3 linked regions of the Neodiprion lecontei genome follow. The protein of the gene in region 2 purifies or fractionates together with the protein of the main gene of each other region. This does not show direct contact. Links are inferred from orthologs where the notes say so. Each region holds a gene or a part of one and is shown on either strand. Other genes may lie near its edges.

What was found.
Region 1: the proteins of synaptosomal-associated protein 29 (region 2) and alpha-soluble NSF attachment protein purify together in Drosophila melanogaster (affinity purification with mass spectrometry; 3 studies listed by BioGRID, with this or other methods). This does not show direct contact. The link is inferred for Neodiprion lecontei from reciprocal best matches to the Drosophila melanogaster genes Snap29 and alphaSnap.
Region 3: the proteins of synaptosomal-associated protein 29 (region 2) and syntaxin-17 purify together in Drosophila melanogaster (affinity purification with western blotting; 4 studies listed by BioGRID, with this or other methods). This does not show direct contact. The link is inferred for Neodiprion lecontei from reciprocal best matches to the Drosophila melanogaster genes Snap29 and Syx17.

The regions. Positions count from the first base shown.
Region 1 is NC_060263.1:28,720,378-28,725,946, forward strand, and holds alpha-soluble NSF attachment protein, read right to left. Parts: upstream 4,031-5,569; 5' UTR 3,911-4,030; coding exon 3,819-3,910; exon of another isoform or gene 3,776-3,818; coding exon of another isoform or gene 3,756-3,775; intron 2,239-3,755; coding exon 2,042-2,238; intron 1,947-2,041; coding exon 1,681-1,946; intron 1,545-1,680; coding exon 1,371-1,544; intron 1,238-1,370; coding exon 1,088-1,237; 3' UTR 528-1,087; downstream 1-527. Other genes in the region: ATP synthase subunit gamma, mitochondrial, read left to right, coding at 5,005-5,569. UniProt on the Drosophila melanogaster protein: Required for vesicular transport between the endoplasmic reticulum and the Golgi apparatus. Also between the endosome and phagosome.
Region 2 is NC_060262.1:33,298,478-33,302,747, forward strand, and holds synaptosomal-associated protein 29, read left to right. Parts: upstream 1-1,701; 5' UTR 1,702-1,846; coding exon 1,847-2,128; intron 2,129-2,478; coding exon 2,479-3,003; 3' UTR 3,004-3,722; downstream 3,723-4,270. Other genes in the region: uncharacterized protein LOC107219610, read right to left, coding at 1,073-1,158.
Region 3 is NC_060261.1:5,330,156-5,334,395, reverse strand, and holds syntaxin-17, read right to left. Parts: upstream 2,417-4,240; 5' UTR 2,180-2,416; coding exon 2,045-2,179; intron 1,925-2,044; coding exon 1,729-1,924; intron 1,506-1,728; coding exon 1,294-1,505; intron 1,206-1,293; coding exon 989-1,205; intron 917-988; coding exon 780-916; 3' UTR 528-779; downstream 1-527. Other genes in the region: gastrula zinc finger protein XlCGF8.2DB, read left to right, coding at 3,625-3,681, 3,909-4,240.

The DNA of each region.
Region 1 (5,569 bases), on a different chromosome or scaffold from region 2:
ATAAATAAAAAATCTGCAATTTTGTCGGGAATAATTGTTAATATGTAATATACAAAATACAATATTGACATATACGTTTACACAACATTGAAATAATCTCGAAATTGAGAATAACCTACCAATACTATATAACATTATTAACATTTTTGCATGGTTAACTCGGCAGCTAAATAGTATATCTTCAATGAAACTGGTAAAATATTACGTTATTATTAATTTAACATTATTATAGCCAATATATGTATATTTATTATAAGTATATATGTATATATGAATGTAGTCAGTGCATTATGTTACTAATTATGAGTCACTTAAGGTGAAAAACAGTACAAAGCAATGATATTAGTTACAACGATTCAAAATTGAATTTTAAGTTTTTATAACGTTTCAAAAGAACGGAGTTTCAGTTAATTCAGAAATGTGAAAAAAAAAAATTCGTCGTAGATAATATATCCCCACTTATGTTAGCACTGATTGTAAATTGCCACAAAGTAACGAACGGGAACTGGAAGAATGAGAAACAACACTTTCTCCTGGAAGTTCGAACTTTAATTTAAATGAAACATATACACATTATTATTCTGAATTGTAATCCAGGTAGCCTTTCTAAACGTTATAAACAACCTAATGAGGCTTTATCGCTATCTGTGCCTCTGAGCTATACCTTCAGTAGTGATCGTGCCATGTACTTTTAGGAACAAAAAAATTCATCGTTATATGTTCACTAGCAAAAAATTCATAAGTGTCGGATAGTAGAAAAATTTAATAACATCCGTTCCAAATTGAATCAGGCCCTGTGTAAGTGTGAATGAAGAATATTGACGTACTAGTGTTACAAACCGATTCCAACAGAATGTATTTACTACCATTCTTGAATATATTTCAATTCTATACAATGATACTTCACACATTTCTAAGAACGATAAACAATTTCGTGAGTACTTTAATAAAACACAGTATTCGTTTATCCCCTTCAAGACGCAAGGGTCTGAAGATATTCTATAAGCCTGGCTATGAGAGGAAGATGTGCACAATCTGAGTGGGAAGATATTAATGGCATATTATTATGTGTAAAAGAGTGAAAAGATCAGCGTAGGTCTGGGTTGTCGTTGACTTGTTTCTTAATGCGCAATAAGATCGTTGTGTACCAGGAATCCAACCGTGATATGGAATCATACTCCTTAACTGCTTCTGTGTATCCTTCCAAATTTTGTTCTTCTAGGTGCTCGATTAGCGTCTGTGTCAACAACAAAAAAGTAGGTGAAGATTTTAGGACAAAAACATACTTAACTATCTTAAGTATCTGGCATTTATCCACGTAAAATTTGAACTTTATTTCATTTAATGTTGATAATAAATTACTAATTTACCTTGATAAGTTTGTATTCTCTAGAATCCTGAAAAGCAGGATATTGTTCTTGATAACGTTCGATCGCGTGTTGAGCATTCAAAACATCGACGCAGAGATGGCATAATGCAGCACGAAAAAAGTACTCCTTCGCACTATATTTCAACAGCGAGCTTTCGAGGGACGAAGAGGCGACCTGTAAGTCATCAATCTCTATAAAATTATACATTACATCTCGCATAAGAGCAAGTGTTTAATTTGTTCTATTCTTATACACTAAGATCCCCTACCATCCTATCGTAAACCAAACAGTTAATATGAATCACACAAACCTGTTCATAAATCTGGATCGCTTTGTCGTAATTCTCAAGTTGGGCGGCATATTGTGCCACCTTGAGCAAACATTTATTTGCGGAAGAGTTACTTTCTTCACCCCGGAAATAGTCGGCTGCCTGCTCGTAGTGGTTTACTGCTCTATCAAGGTCGACAGACTCACTCTCATACATCTCTGCTATACTTTGATGGTGCTTAGCAGCCATTGTGAACCTTCCCATGTCCGTATATATCTCTATTGCTTTTAGAAGACAGCTAACTGCCTCTACAATATTGTAAAAAAAAACGTCAAATGAGAGGCACGTTCAGTGATTGCAATTCAAGACAGTTCAACCTATATCACACAACAAACAATCATACCATTTGGATCCGACTTTTTATAACAGTTGGCAGCATCTACGTAGTTTGTCGCAGCATCGTGTCTGCTACCAGCTTTGCCGTGAAGATTAGCTGCTTCACAAAATGCATTTCCTGCGGCTCCCCACTTTTTTGCCATTTTGAACATATTTGCTGCACGCTGATAGCATTCTACTGCTTCTTCTACCTTCGACGATCCTCTGTGGAGTAATACGCGCTTTTTTCAAATATTTTGTACGAATAACACAACGATTACACTGCAGTTTGTAATTACCGCTTTAGATTATTAAATTATCAATGCCAAAATGAAATCTATTCATCAGATAGATTGACAAGATTTTCCCTAATATCTCACAAGCTAGATACAGGCTGAAATTTTTTAATATAAATTTCTTGTATGTGAGATTCGGAAACATCATTGGAACAAACTATATCTTCAGTATTGCTTGGTCATGCTTCAAAGTTTCATTCCTAAACTGGTTTAACTATGATCTTCAAATTTACCTCCATCAGTTGTATGAAACAATTTTTAATGTAGGCATAATGTGTTTTTTGAGAATATTTTCTGTCATCAGTTTGTTAAGTAACATGAATTTCGTCTCGGACAAGCAAGTTCCTCATTCATCAAAGAAATGATTTTTCTGTTTAACAGTAACATATGTCTGTGAATTTTTAATGATACTTAAAATATCGTAGAAGATAATTCTTAGAAATTCGTTATCCATTTTATAAAAAACAATCAAGCATTTATGTTAAACTGAGATATCTTCAGCAGTTTAATTAATCACGTTGCATAACATTTTATCAATACTTGTGAAACCATTTAAATGAAGTTTATCTCTCAGCAATGAATTTTTTTGAAATGCATACCTTTCCTTGATTGAATCAACGAGTAATCACCCGAATATATTGCTCAGTGAATAAGTAATTTTATACTCTTATTTGTATTTCGATATCTTGTACTGCAAGTAATACACATAAACAAATAATTGGGTAAATATAAGTCCATGAAGAATAAATGTAATGGATAGTCTTTACAAAAATAAACTTAATTCAGTGGATTGAGTGAAGTCCGAATGTCGACAGGAAGCATTCTGCATATGAGAATAAACAAAGCTAAATAATACCATATCATGTTATTGTGAAGTTAAGATCAGGAAAAAATATGACTAAGAATACATTTTGTAATTGTTTCAGTTTTCAGTCGATTAACACAAAAGAACAAGGTAATGGATGCTAAGTTTACAAGCACTCGCGACCCTACTTACACAATATACTTGTTCAGTCGTACAGGACATACGACATACAATAACAATTCGGCAAATTATTGTTTAAACTTTAATCATGTGTGTAAATTTAAGATTGTCGAATGTCATATGGACCTTGTCACTCAACCATTGAACATACTGACTCTAAATTGATGTGTAAATTTGGAAGGTTTGTTATGCCCTAAGAACTGAGATTGGAGGAAAATTGTTAGACCTGGAAGTAGTGCCTAAACGTAGCAATGAAGGGGTCGAGTTATGCACGTACATTAAAAAAATATTCATTTGATTTCAATATCAAACTCTTGATGATATGAAATTGGCGAATTCTCATGATTCGTACGATGAATTTCAAGTGATAGTAAAATACGTGAAAATGTATCGAAAATATGTCACTTAGGAATAGGATCGTTTATGCAAATCAGTAAGGAGCTCGTCAAATTGCGACGTACGTATCAATAAATTCGTCCATCCTTGCAGTCTGTCATTTTTCTGACAAATCAATATCAACTCACCCGAAAAGAGATCCAAAGAAACCTTTCGAGGAAGTTAATTTTTTTTCTGCCTCAGCCATGAGCTGTATGGCTTTCTGCTCATTGTCACCCATTATGATAAATACTTTTTAAAACACTTCGCTATTTCTCTATTATACTGTCACTCGCTTTATTGACAAAATCCATTCACTGTGCGCCACCAGTGAGCTCTGACCTGCTCTGACGTCACCATGAAGGAAACATCCACCCTATTCGTTTTCACTTATTTCCACTGAGGGAAGACAGGGGGGATCGCCGTTTGCCAATCGCGTTCGTCTATCTATGTGAAACCAGAAATTGAGCCATACATTGAGGTTAGGTTGATCCGTGTTTTGCGGGTGTTATTTTTTGATATGAAATGAAAGTGATATTCACATTTATAGGGTAATATTAAATGCCTGAACTTATATGTATGCATGTTTTATCATACATCATACGCCAAAGTCGAAGAACATTACCGTTCTTTTTCCTAAATAGATTTATGACTTGATAGTGGTGCATCCATCTGGCGGTGGAATTAAACATTATGCCGCTCAAGCTGAGTCAACGGCCGGGAGATGATCTTTGAAAAGCGGCCTACGTGATATAAAAAATTTTAAATGGTTTTACAGCTGTTCAATGGTTTAATCCTTTCAAGCTTTACAATATTTAATTCACTCGACGGGGCTGGGAAATATTTTATAGCAGGGATGACAAATTAACATAACAAACAGGATAGGCCTTCGTATTCGTGTCTACCTTGTCAGCAATTTCGTCTGTCTATCCATTAGTTGGCCATTGACCATTAGTCCCGGTTGTTACTCATATGCTCTTTGCGGTAGAGTATCTGTGGATTAGGTTGTCCCTGCTTTTCCTACCTAACTTTCTGCCAAATTTCTGGGTAAGTGTCTGGAACGGTTGTTTTTAACAAAAGAAGCCGTAAATTGTAATTGTATCGTGGTTTAATCATTATCCAAGGACTTTATTGTCGTTGACCGATGTACAATCATGCGTTATTATTTGCATACATTAAATCGGCACATGACTTATCTGCGTGAATCGATTACATAAATGTCTACACACTTATGCACGCACACAGGCATAAATTTCTGCTCGTCTGACATAATTCACCTTGTAAGCAAGTCTTTTTACGATTATAATTAATTTCAGGGGCAGGCCAAAAGTAAAGATGCTTCGTCAGACGTTAACTTTAGTGCCTGCGCACTCGCAGCAGCTTCAACAGCGGGGTATGGCGACTTTAAAATCCATCTCACTGCGTCTGAAGTCAGTTAAAAACATCCAGAAGATTACTCAATCGATGAAGATGGTGTCCGCTGCTAAGTACAACCGTGCGGAGAGGGATTTGAAACAGGCCCGCCCCCTTGGAGAAGGCACCAAAGCTTTTTATGAAAAAGCTGAAATTGCAGCACCGGAAGGAGTACCGAGCAAACTCGTAATTGCAATTACCTCAGACCGAGGTCTCTGCGGAGCTTGCCACACAGGAGTTGCCCGCAACATTAGAGATCAGCTCCTTGCAAATCCTGCAGATAAAGAGAACACAAAAATCATATGCGTAGGTGAAAAATCACGAGCTGTCTTAGCCCGAATTTTTGCCAATAATATATTGTTTGTTGCCTCCGAAGTTGGTCGCCTGCCACCAACTTTTACTGATGCTTCCAAATTGGCTGCAGAGATTTTAAACAGTGGATACTCCTTTGCATCTGGACGCATTGTCTACAATAAATTCAAATCTG
Region 2 (4,270 bases):
CATAATCGAATGAAAAGTGTTGACGGTTACATAAGTCTATCATTTCATCTATGTTTCAATAGAAATGGTAAAATTCTGGCAAATGACATTATCGTTTCTTTAATGCCATCATGTCATTCAGTAGAGAAAAAAGAAATGGACCATTACTGTGCCAGCGTTAAACCACTTCGGTAACGAGCATGGCATTGAGTCAAAAACTGCACGTGCAGCTTACCTATCAGCTGATCCTCGCTGCACTGGAGTCACCGCCGAATCAGGCTCTAGTCAACAGCTAATCATGAGCTTTGCACTTTTTCACACTACACTCTTTTGGTCTGACAATTTCAATGTCCGTAGTCATGTACGTATCATTTTTTCACAACAAATAACAAAGAGTATTCACCCATTTATGCTACATAGTTGGTTGAACATTAAATGTAGCTGTCATTTGTTACGCAATTGTAATTTCATACCGATGATAAATTTTTCAATAATCAGTATTATAGTAAATTTTGTTGCAATAAAATACTTGAAAAATCAGGCGTTGCAATTCACTTTTCCACAGGTGGTAACGATAAATTTACCAGTAGTGAAGGAAAAAGAAGTATGTATATGACAACACGTTTAATATTTCTGAATTTTAACAACTTTTTAGCGTGCGAAAACTCCGACGTTGAGGTAGTGAATCAATTGTACGTTCAATGAAAGTTCCGATAACCTCGAAATGTAACTATTATCAGACCACATATCGCTTATAGTACAATTGAAGCAAGTAAATTAATATAGTAATAAAGTCACTCACCATATTCTTTACATGGCATTGGATGAGAGAGCGAACCAATCGCGAGTCATTTTACTTTGTCACACTCTTCACTGTTTACGACGTGTAAACGTTTCTGAATGCACCGTATTCAACGACAAAATCGTATATCTATACACACTCATAACAAAAACTGTACATCACTTAAAAGGACTATTAATATTATCCGGCTCCACAGATCTAAAATCTGAAACTTTGTTGCCACGAAACTACACAAAACTAACCCACGATCCACTAACGAGGACTAACGAACGCGTACTGAGTCTGACTTACCGACCGCAGCTTCCAATTTTTGTCCGGTGAGCCAAGATGGCCACTGCTTCGCGAACGTTCGGCAACGTTCGAAAATATTTCCACATTTCATCACTGCGTCACACAAGATCTTACAAACAATTATAAAATTTAAAACTCCCGTTTGTTTAATTCCACATTTCGACGATAGTAAGGTTTACTTTTCGGATAAATATTGTGAGAAAAATTAGTTTCAATTCTCACTATCGCACTGAAAGAATGACTACGTATAAGCCGAGACCGCCGAATGAATGAATTTTCTCAGCCTTCTTCCCGTAACTTTTCACATCACTTTTTCACCAACCAACCGCTGTCTTCCGCTAGATCGCTACGATGAATTGATGAGACGTAATAATTACGGCAAAGAGTAAGCTACCTTTGATTCAAAGCTAATCTTTTTACAACTTCACTGGTGATTGATCAAAACAGAGTTCGCAAGTCCAGTCTTGCGAATTCCACAATCTTAACATCGTATAACATAACAAACCACGGAGTAAACGTTCCAAGCGTTCTGATTGGCCCGTAGAAGGCAGGCGACAAACAAATACGCTGCGCATCGACAGTGTGCGTGTCTTCCATGCATGCATACGTGTATCAGTGATGTGTGCCCACCACGCATTGTGACAGTCAGTGACAGCATTCGTATCGCTAGGTGTATTTGAGGTTATCCGTGATAGACTAATCGCTGTCAGTAAGTTGTTGAATAGAGAGCTGCTGGGCAGTGGCCTTGGTGAGTTAAAAGTAGACAACACTCAAATGGCTGGTCAAAATTATTTGAGTGATTCGAAAAATCCTTTCTTCGCACTGGAAGATGACGTGGACGATGAAACGTTTTTACGAAGTGCCCCACCGAGATCGCAACCGTCTTCAAGTTTTGCGACGTACAATAGTTACACCAATTACAATAATGATCTTGAACAACAAAGGGATCAGCTGATGGAACGCAAAAATGCCATTGAACAACGAACTCTCCAATCATCCAAAAGATCTATATCTCTTTTGAGGGATTCGGAACAAATCGGGGCTGCTACAGCAGAGGTAAAATTTTTATCATTCACTTGTTACATCCATCTGACCAACAATTCCATTTAAAAAAAAAAAAGAAACTTTTGTCCTGCTCCTTATATGGGAAACAAAGTATTTCTTCAGGCGAAGGAAGATTTTGTATTTTTCCCAGCTGTAACTGGCATTCTCCTTAAAAACATTTCTCTGGAATAATGAAATCCTGAAGTTGTTCTATAATTCCAGTGACCAAGACTTGAATATAACTGTATTTAACCTTTACGTAGATTAGTTCGTTTGATCGAACAATTTATCACTAGATTTTCCGATCTAAATTAATAGTGATTATTCATCGCTTCATTGTCATGTTATTGTGTTTATTTTAGGAACTGATGAGACAACGGGAACAGCTGGAAAAAACGGAGAAACGATTAGACGATATCAACAGTACGTTGCGTTTCAGTCAGAAACACATCCAAGGAATAAAAAGTGTTTTCGGTAGCCTTAAAAATTATCTTAGTGGAAAGTCGATTGACGGTCCCCCTCCTTCTAGCAATACTTTGAAACTTTCTGAGTCTGCCAGCCCTAGGTCATTATCGCCGTCACCGTTATCTGAACCTCTGGATCGCGTGCAGACCAATCTTTCCAATAACCATCCAGCTTTGCGCATTCGAGGACTTTTAGATGAAGAAGAACTGCCTCGTCCCAGCGACAATGTCAGTGCTATTTTAGAAAAGAATCTAGATGAAATGAGCGGTTCTTTAGCAAGATTAAAGGGCTTGGCTGTTGGATTAACGGAAGAAATTGATTCTCAGAATGATTTGATTGATAGTGTTATGGATAAAACGGAAAAGGCAGATATTACAATTGATAGGCAGAATAAAGACATTACACGTTTGCTGAAAAAGTAAATCAGCGGTGTGCAATAAACAATCGTAACTTCTTAATTGATTCAACAGTCGAAATTGTGTTGATCAATTAGTGGATGTTTTTTATCAGGTCTCTGTAATAAAAACAGAGCCTTTTTCTCGCTATTGCTGAAGTTCTATCATTTATTGCAATGAAACACTTAATCACTGTGGATTGCTGAAACTGGATCCAGATAATCTCGAGTAGCAATGTGGTGGTTTTGAGGTAGTCGTAATATTATGATAATAGTAGATTATTGTATAACACATTCATAACGAAATATTATGTATTATTATATATTACAAACCAAATACTTGCATAGTGAATTTTATAACGAACAAGCATTAATACACCCCCTTTTTACAGAAGTCACTGAAATTAAAGTATATGTTCCATCTCTGATTTCTAATAAACGTTACACTTCGGGTACGTGATCGTATATGTAAACAGAACCAGAGTAAATTCGAGCTTTTTAAAACTCAAACATGTAGGTTGGTGTAAATGTAATTTTATACGGGGCGTTCCGAATAACTTTGTTGGTTATTCGAGATGATTTCAGATGTTGTTGTCTTTGTTACTGTTAGCAAGAGTAAAAGTAGGGGTAAAACCATTTCCTGGATATACCCAAATGGTGGTGAATTTCCTGCATATATAATATTTTTACGGCAATGCTTCCGAGGAATACCATCTCAGTTTTATGAATCTTTTCCATCAAAATGCGGCTTATCCCAAAAAATATACCGTCTATGCATTTCGATATAAAATAAGCAATAAGGGAAGCTAATCTGCGAAACTCGTTACATGAAATGAGAAACAATGACGATCATGTATCATCTCTGATTGATAGATGTGTCAAGATTAGGCATTAATATTATCTAAAATGACAGGCGATTCATTTATAGATGAATATGTTTTGTGAGGCAGAAAATATAACTTAATTTATATTATAAACATTAAAGATATTAATATATATTAATTTATAGTGTAACTTATATTGTCAATTGTACCAGGAAATTGTGTTACATTTACCGATACTCCACGACAAACAGTGACTGCTCAATATGATACGGTATTATTAAGATACATATATACATCATTTGTAATCACATTTTTATCCTGAAATTTCTTCCTATTGTTTTAAAGAAAATAAAAGCCTACGTTTCGTGTACGGGATATGCAAATTATTTTCTTCTAACACTCATACTGTAAGCGTCAGTTGCACTTTCTGTTATACACAATTAAAAGCAAAAAATTGTAATCTATACCCAG
Region 3 (4,240 bases), on a different chromosome or scaffold from region 2:
TGTACGAAAAAGAAAAAAGCTCCCTTAAAACAGTATTCTGTGTTCAATTTGCTGGATTGAGCGGTAGTTTTTAAAGAAGGAACAATTTTAATTCATTGACTATGAATACATATATTCAATGTGACACATCGAATGGCTCTGATCTAGCACGAGGTCGGTTTTTCGTAAATATACACAACAAACTACGCACCAACGATTGAACTTAACGGTTAACAATTGAATAAGTTCACAGTTGTTTCAATTGGTGGTTTCTATAATCGACTGTACCTGTAGAGTCGCAGCATCTAGTGGCACTTGTTTCAGTCGTCACGGTTGACAGCCTGCACCGTTAACCGCGAAAATTGAATTTATCTTGGATCGCAGAATTAAAAAAGTCTTGATCATCATCACCACCATCCCCTTGACAGAAGGTACGGGAATATTTTGTACGTCAAAGCTTTTAAGGAACCGCATTCCGAACATTAATTAGGTAGAATTATTTACTTATTTCAATGAGACTCCGATTGGACGTTATGCATAGTCCTGAATTTGAATGTATAAAATAGCGAGTGATTTTATTCAATTAGTAAAATATTTGTACATGGTTAATTACAATTTAGATCACAGTTAGGTACATTTTGAGGAAGGCTATCTTATTATCAAGCCATATATTCGTTCCGTATTCATATCCTTTTTATTTTTAGTGCGGATTTTACGGTGCTACTTGCTTTTTAACCGTTCCTTCACCTCTACATCATGGAGCAATGCAACTTACACTTTTTGCGTTTAACTTGTAATGGTCAAAGTTGTTTATTGCTAGCTTTTATATTTTCTGACGGCAAATCAGAACCATGAACACGTTCAAGTCTGTTTTCTGCTTGGCTTTCCGTACTTGATTTTATAGTTTTTTTCTTCAAAAGCGTTCCTCCAGTAAAACCTATTAGAAAAACAAAAGCGATATTACAACTTGTAATGATATTGACGACTTCATTACACGAATAACTTTTACCTAACAACCCACAACCAATCGCCGTGAGACCACCAAATTTTAAACCAGCGATTAAACCAACTGGACCTCCAAGACAGGTTCCAATTAGAGCCCCAGCTATTGGGTATGCCGCTATTTTGTATTTTCCTGCTTTCTCTAGGAACTTTGTACCTTCCGTGACATTTACTTCAGTCTCTTCAGTATTTTCTTCTATTCTGTTTACAAACTCTTTTTGATCCTGTGAAAGTTTGAACAAAACGTTGAAATATTATTTGAAAGAATTTTCAAACAGTAGTAGAAGCAAATTTCTCAAAAGTTAAACTCACGTGAACAAGTTGATTAAAGTCTACGAACAATTGATGCAGCTGTATCATATCATCCTGCAGAGAGTTCCAAGCATGCAGACAGGCCTGCTGCCTTTCCAATTCTTTCTCTTCTGCGTGCAGTTGGATATTGCCATCCTGAAATGGGTGGTTTGTGGCCTCATCTTCATCTTTGGTTGACAAACGGTTCATTGTAGGCAGATTGAGGTCCAGCGCTGCAATTATTGATAACTGAGTATTGTTGTTATTATTATTATTATTGCTGTTATTATTATTATTATCATTATTAATAGTATGGAAGAATAAACAAATTATTTATAACATGGCTAGAATTTAATCATTTCCATCTTACAATATCTGCTTTACTTTTTAGTTTTTAGTTTTCAGTCAGCAGATGTCCAAAAAATTTGAACAATGCGAAAATTATTCAATGCTTACCCAAATATTCTTTGATGGCATTCATTGTACTTGCTCTAGAGTATGCTGTGAGTTGATCGAACTTAGCGATATCGCTGTCTTGTACTTGGCCTCGCAGAACATCCATTTCGTACAATAACTGTTTAAGCTGTTTGACCAGACGAGAAGCATTCGTCTGTTCTTTATAGATACGGTCCCAGTCTCCGGTTTGTTTTAGCTAAAAAGTAAGACCATGATGATCAAGATTACTGATCATGTTAGCTGCCGTTTTTCTTCTCATGAGCAAAATATCGGGCAGATGGGAGATTGGGTTATCGATGTATGAAAAAAATTCAACCTTGGCGATATTAGTCTTATGTCTTCTGAGCATTCCTAAGTGATGTGGTATTGCGACGTCATTGAATTTGCTAATTGGTATTTCCAGCCGTTTGATTGGTTGCTTATTTCCTACGGTTTCACTGTGCAACGACATGGTTTGCCTACGTGTTTTAACCCAAGAAGACGTTAGCTGCTAAATTATCGTCTGACAGCGCTTGTTTATTGCTGATCCTTTTCAGTCACAAAACGACGTAGTTCGTTGGTTTGATTTTATTGCTTTCTAGTTACTTGAAACTGCAGATTTTAGCACCAGGCGCACTGAAAGTTGTTTTTCTTCTTTGTTATTTCTCTTTCCATTGGCGTATGTATCAAGGTACACCCCTAGACATGAAGACTAGAGAGAAGGAGACCGAACGCTGTACTGGGAACGTGGTCTATGAAAGTGGAGTACATTTTTAGCGTTAAATTCGATAGGAGTGCTGCTGTCGCTAAGATGGGCAACAGAGAGAGACTGAGAAAAGAGAGAGACCGCTATATCGAACTGAACAGGTCAAGGCCCTTCTTCCTTGTGCAGTTTTTTAGGTTATGTATTTGTTTTTAAATTTTAGCGAAGAAAAATCTACCTTTTGATGCTGGTAGGACAATAAAAATATTGCGGGCTTTATTCGATTGTTAGGCACCCCTGTCGAGTCAAAAGATGCGTTCCGAAACTAGTTGGCACCAGTAAAATCCCTAGGATGGAGGCAGAGCCAGCCCCTTGACACACGCTGCTAAAAGTGGTTCGCAAGATGTTCCTCGATTCTGCCGCCAATTTCCACCACTAGTGACGCTAGTAGTTATCTGACACGCTTGCGCGCGGTCAGCGAGGGCAGCGAGCGTGTCAGAAATCTACTGGCGCTACGTAGAGGAACTAAAAAACGGGGACAAAACGCGTACAATTTTTTAGTATGCGAGCAGTGGCGAGTGTCAGGGGGCTGGGCAGAGCTACTCAAGAACTCAGTAGCGCAAGAGAGGTAATAGATTGTTGATAGTACACTGGCAGCTAATTTCGGAACGCACTTAGAGGTGTTTTCATTTTCAACTGGGAGCCAGAGTGCCCACGAATGCATTTTCCCTAGGATTTCGTCCTCGCTATTGAGTGAAAAATAAGGATAAATTGCACGCAGTGTAGCCATTTGAAAACACCATAAAACGGAGTTAGAGCTACGCGCCTGATCGATAGGGTGAGAGAAATAGGAGATCGCTGATAGCACGGGCGGCTAACTTCATGTTATTCACGTACGGATCGAACGGAAACTAAACGCTTAGGATTGGTCGGACGGCAGATGTAAGAGAGCGCGACATTAGCAACGGCGTATTTGTTACCCAGTTTTCGCCCGTTAGACACTTTGACATGTGTTTATGCATCGTGATGTTTTGACAGTAGAAACGTCAAAACATTCTATATCGGGACAAGAAAATCGAAATATAATTGAATTGGTGAATGGCTTCCGGACTTGGAAATTGATAGTCAAATAAAAGACAGAAGAACAAAGAGAAGTAGAAGATAGAAATAAGTGATGAAGAAATTGATGTGATATCACCAGCTCGGGGCTGACGATGAATTCCCGGTGCATCAAAGTAGAACCGCTTGTCGAATTCCCGGAAATTGAAGTGGTGCGGTAATAAATAAATATAATTACATGTTATTACAGTTTAACCAAACTTCACGTTCTGTTGATATTTTCTGCACACAAATAACAATGTGTGGGTATTCGATTTTATACTGCAATTGCTGAAACTATGTCAATACATGCAAAAATAGGGCTGGAAAGTATTTTAACTTTAAAATAGAAGCAAAAAATTCACAAGCGCTGCGATATTCATCATTTTAATTTTCAAAGGTTCCGATGGATACCGAATTTGATGCGACAGATAACAGATTAGTTGGGGAAGAGGTGCTGGCATTAGAAGAAGTGGACAATCCGCAATTCTACGCAACGATATTGATGAAAGAGGAGCACTCTGAGGAATTGTATGAGGAGCCGAGCAGTAGATTGGATCATAATATATCGCTTTTGTCTGAGAGGGTGAAGAATCGTGGCGACGATATCAGTGTGGAAATAAGTTCGTTGAAGAGGAGTTTTCGATGTCCTTTATGCAGCAAGGAGTACGCAAGGAAAGATCACCTGAATTACCACATGAAAATTCATGCCGGTTTCAAGGATTTTAAATG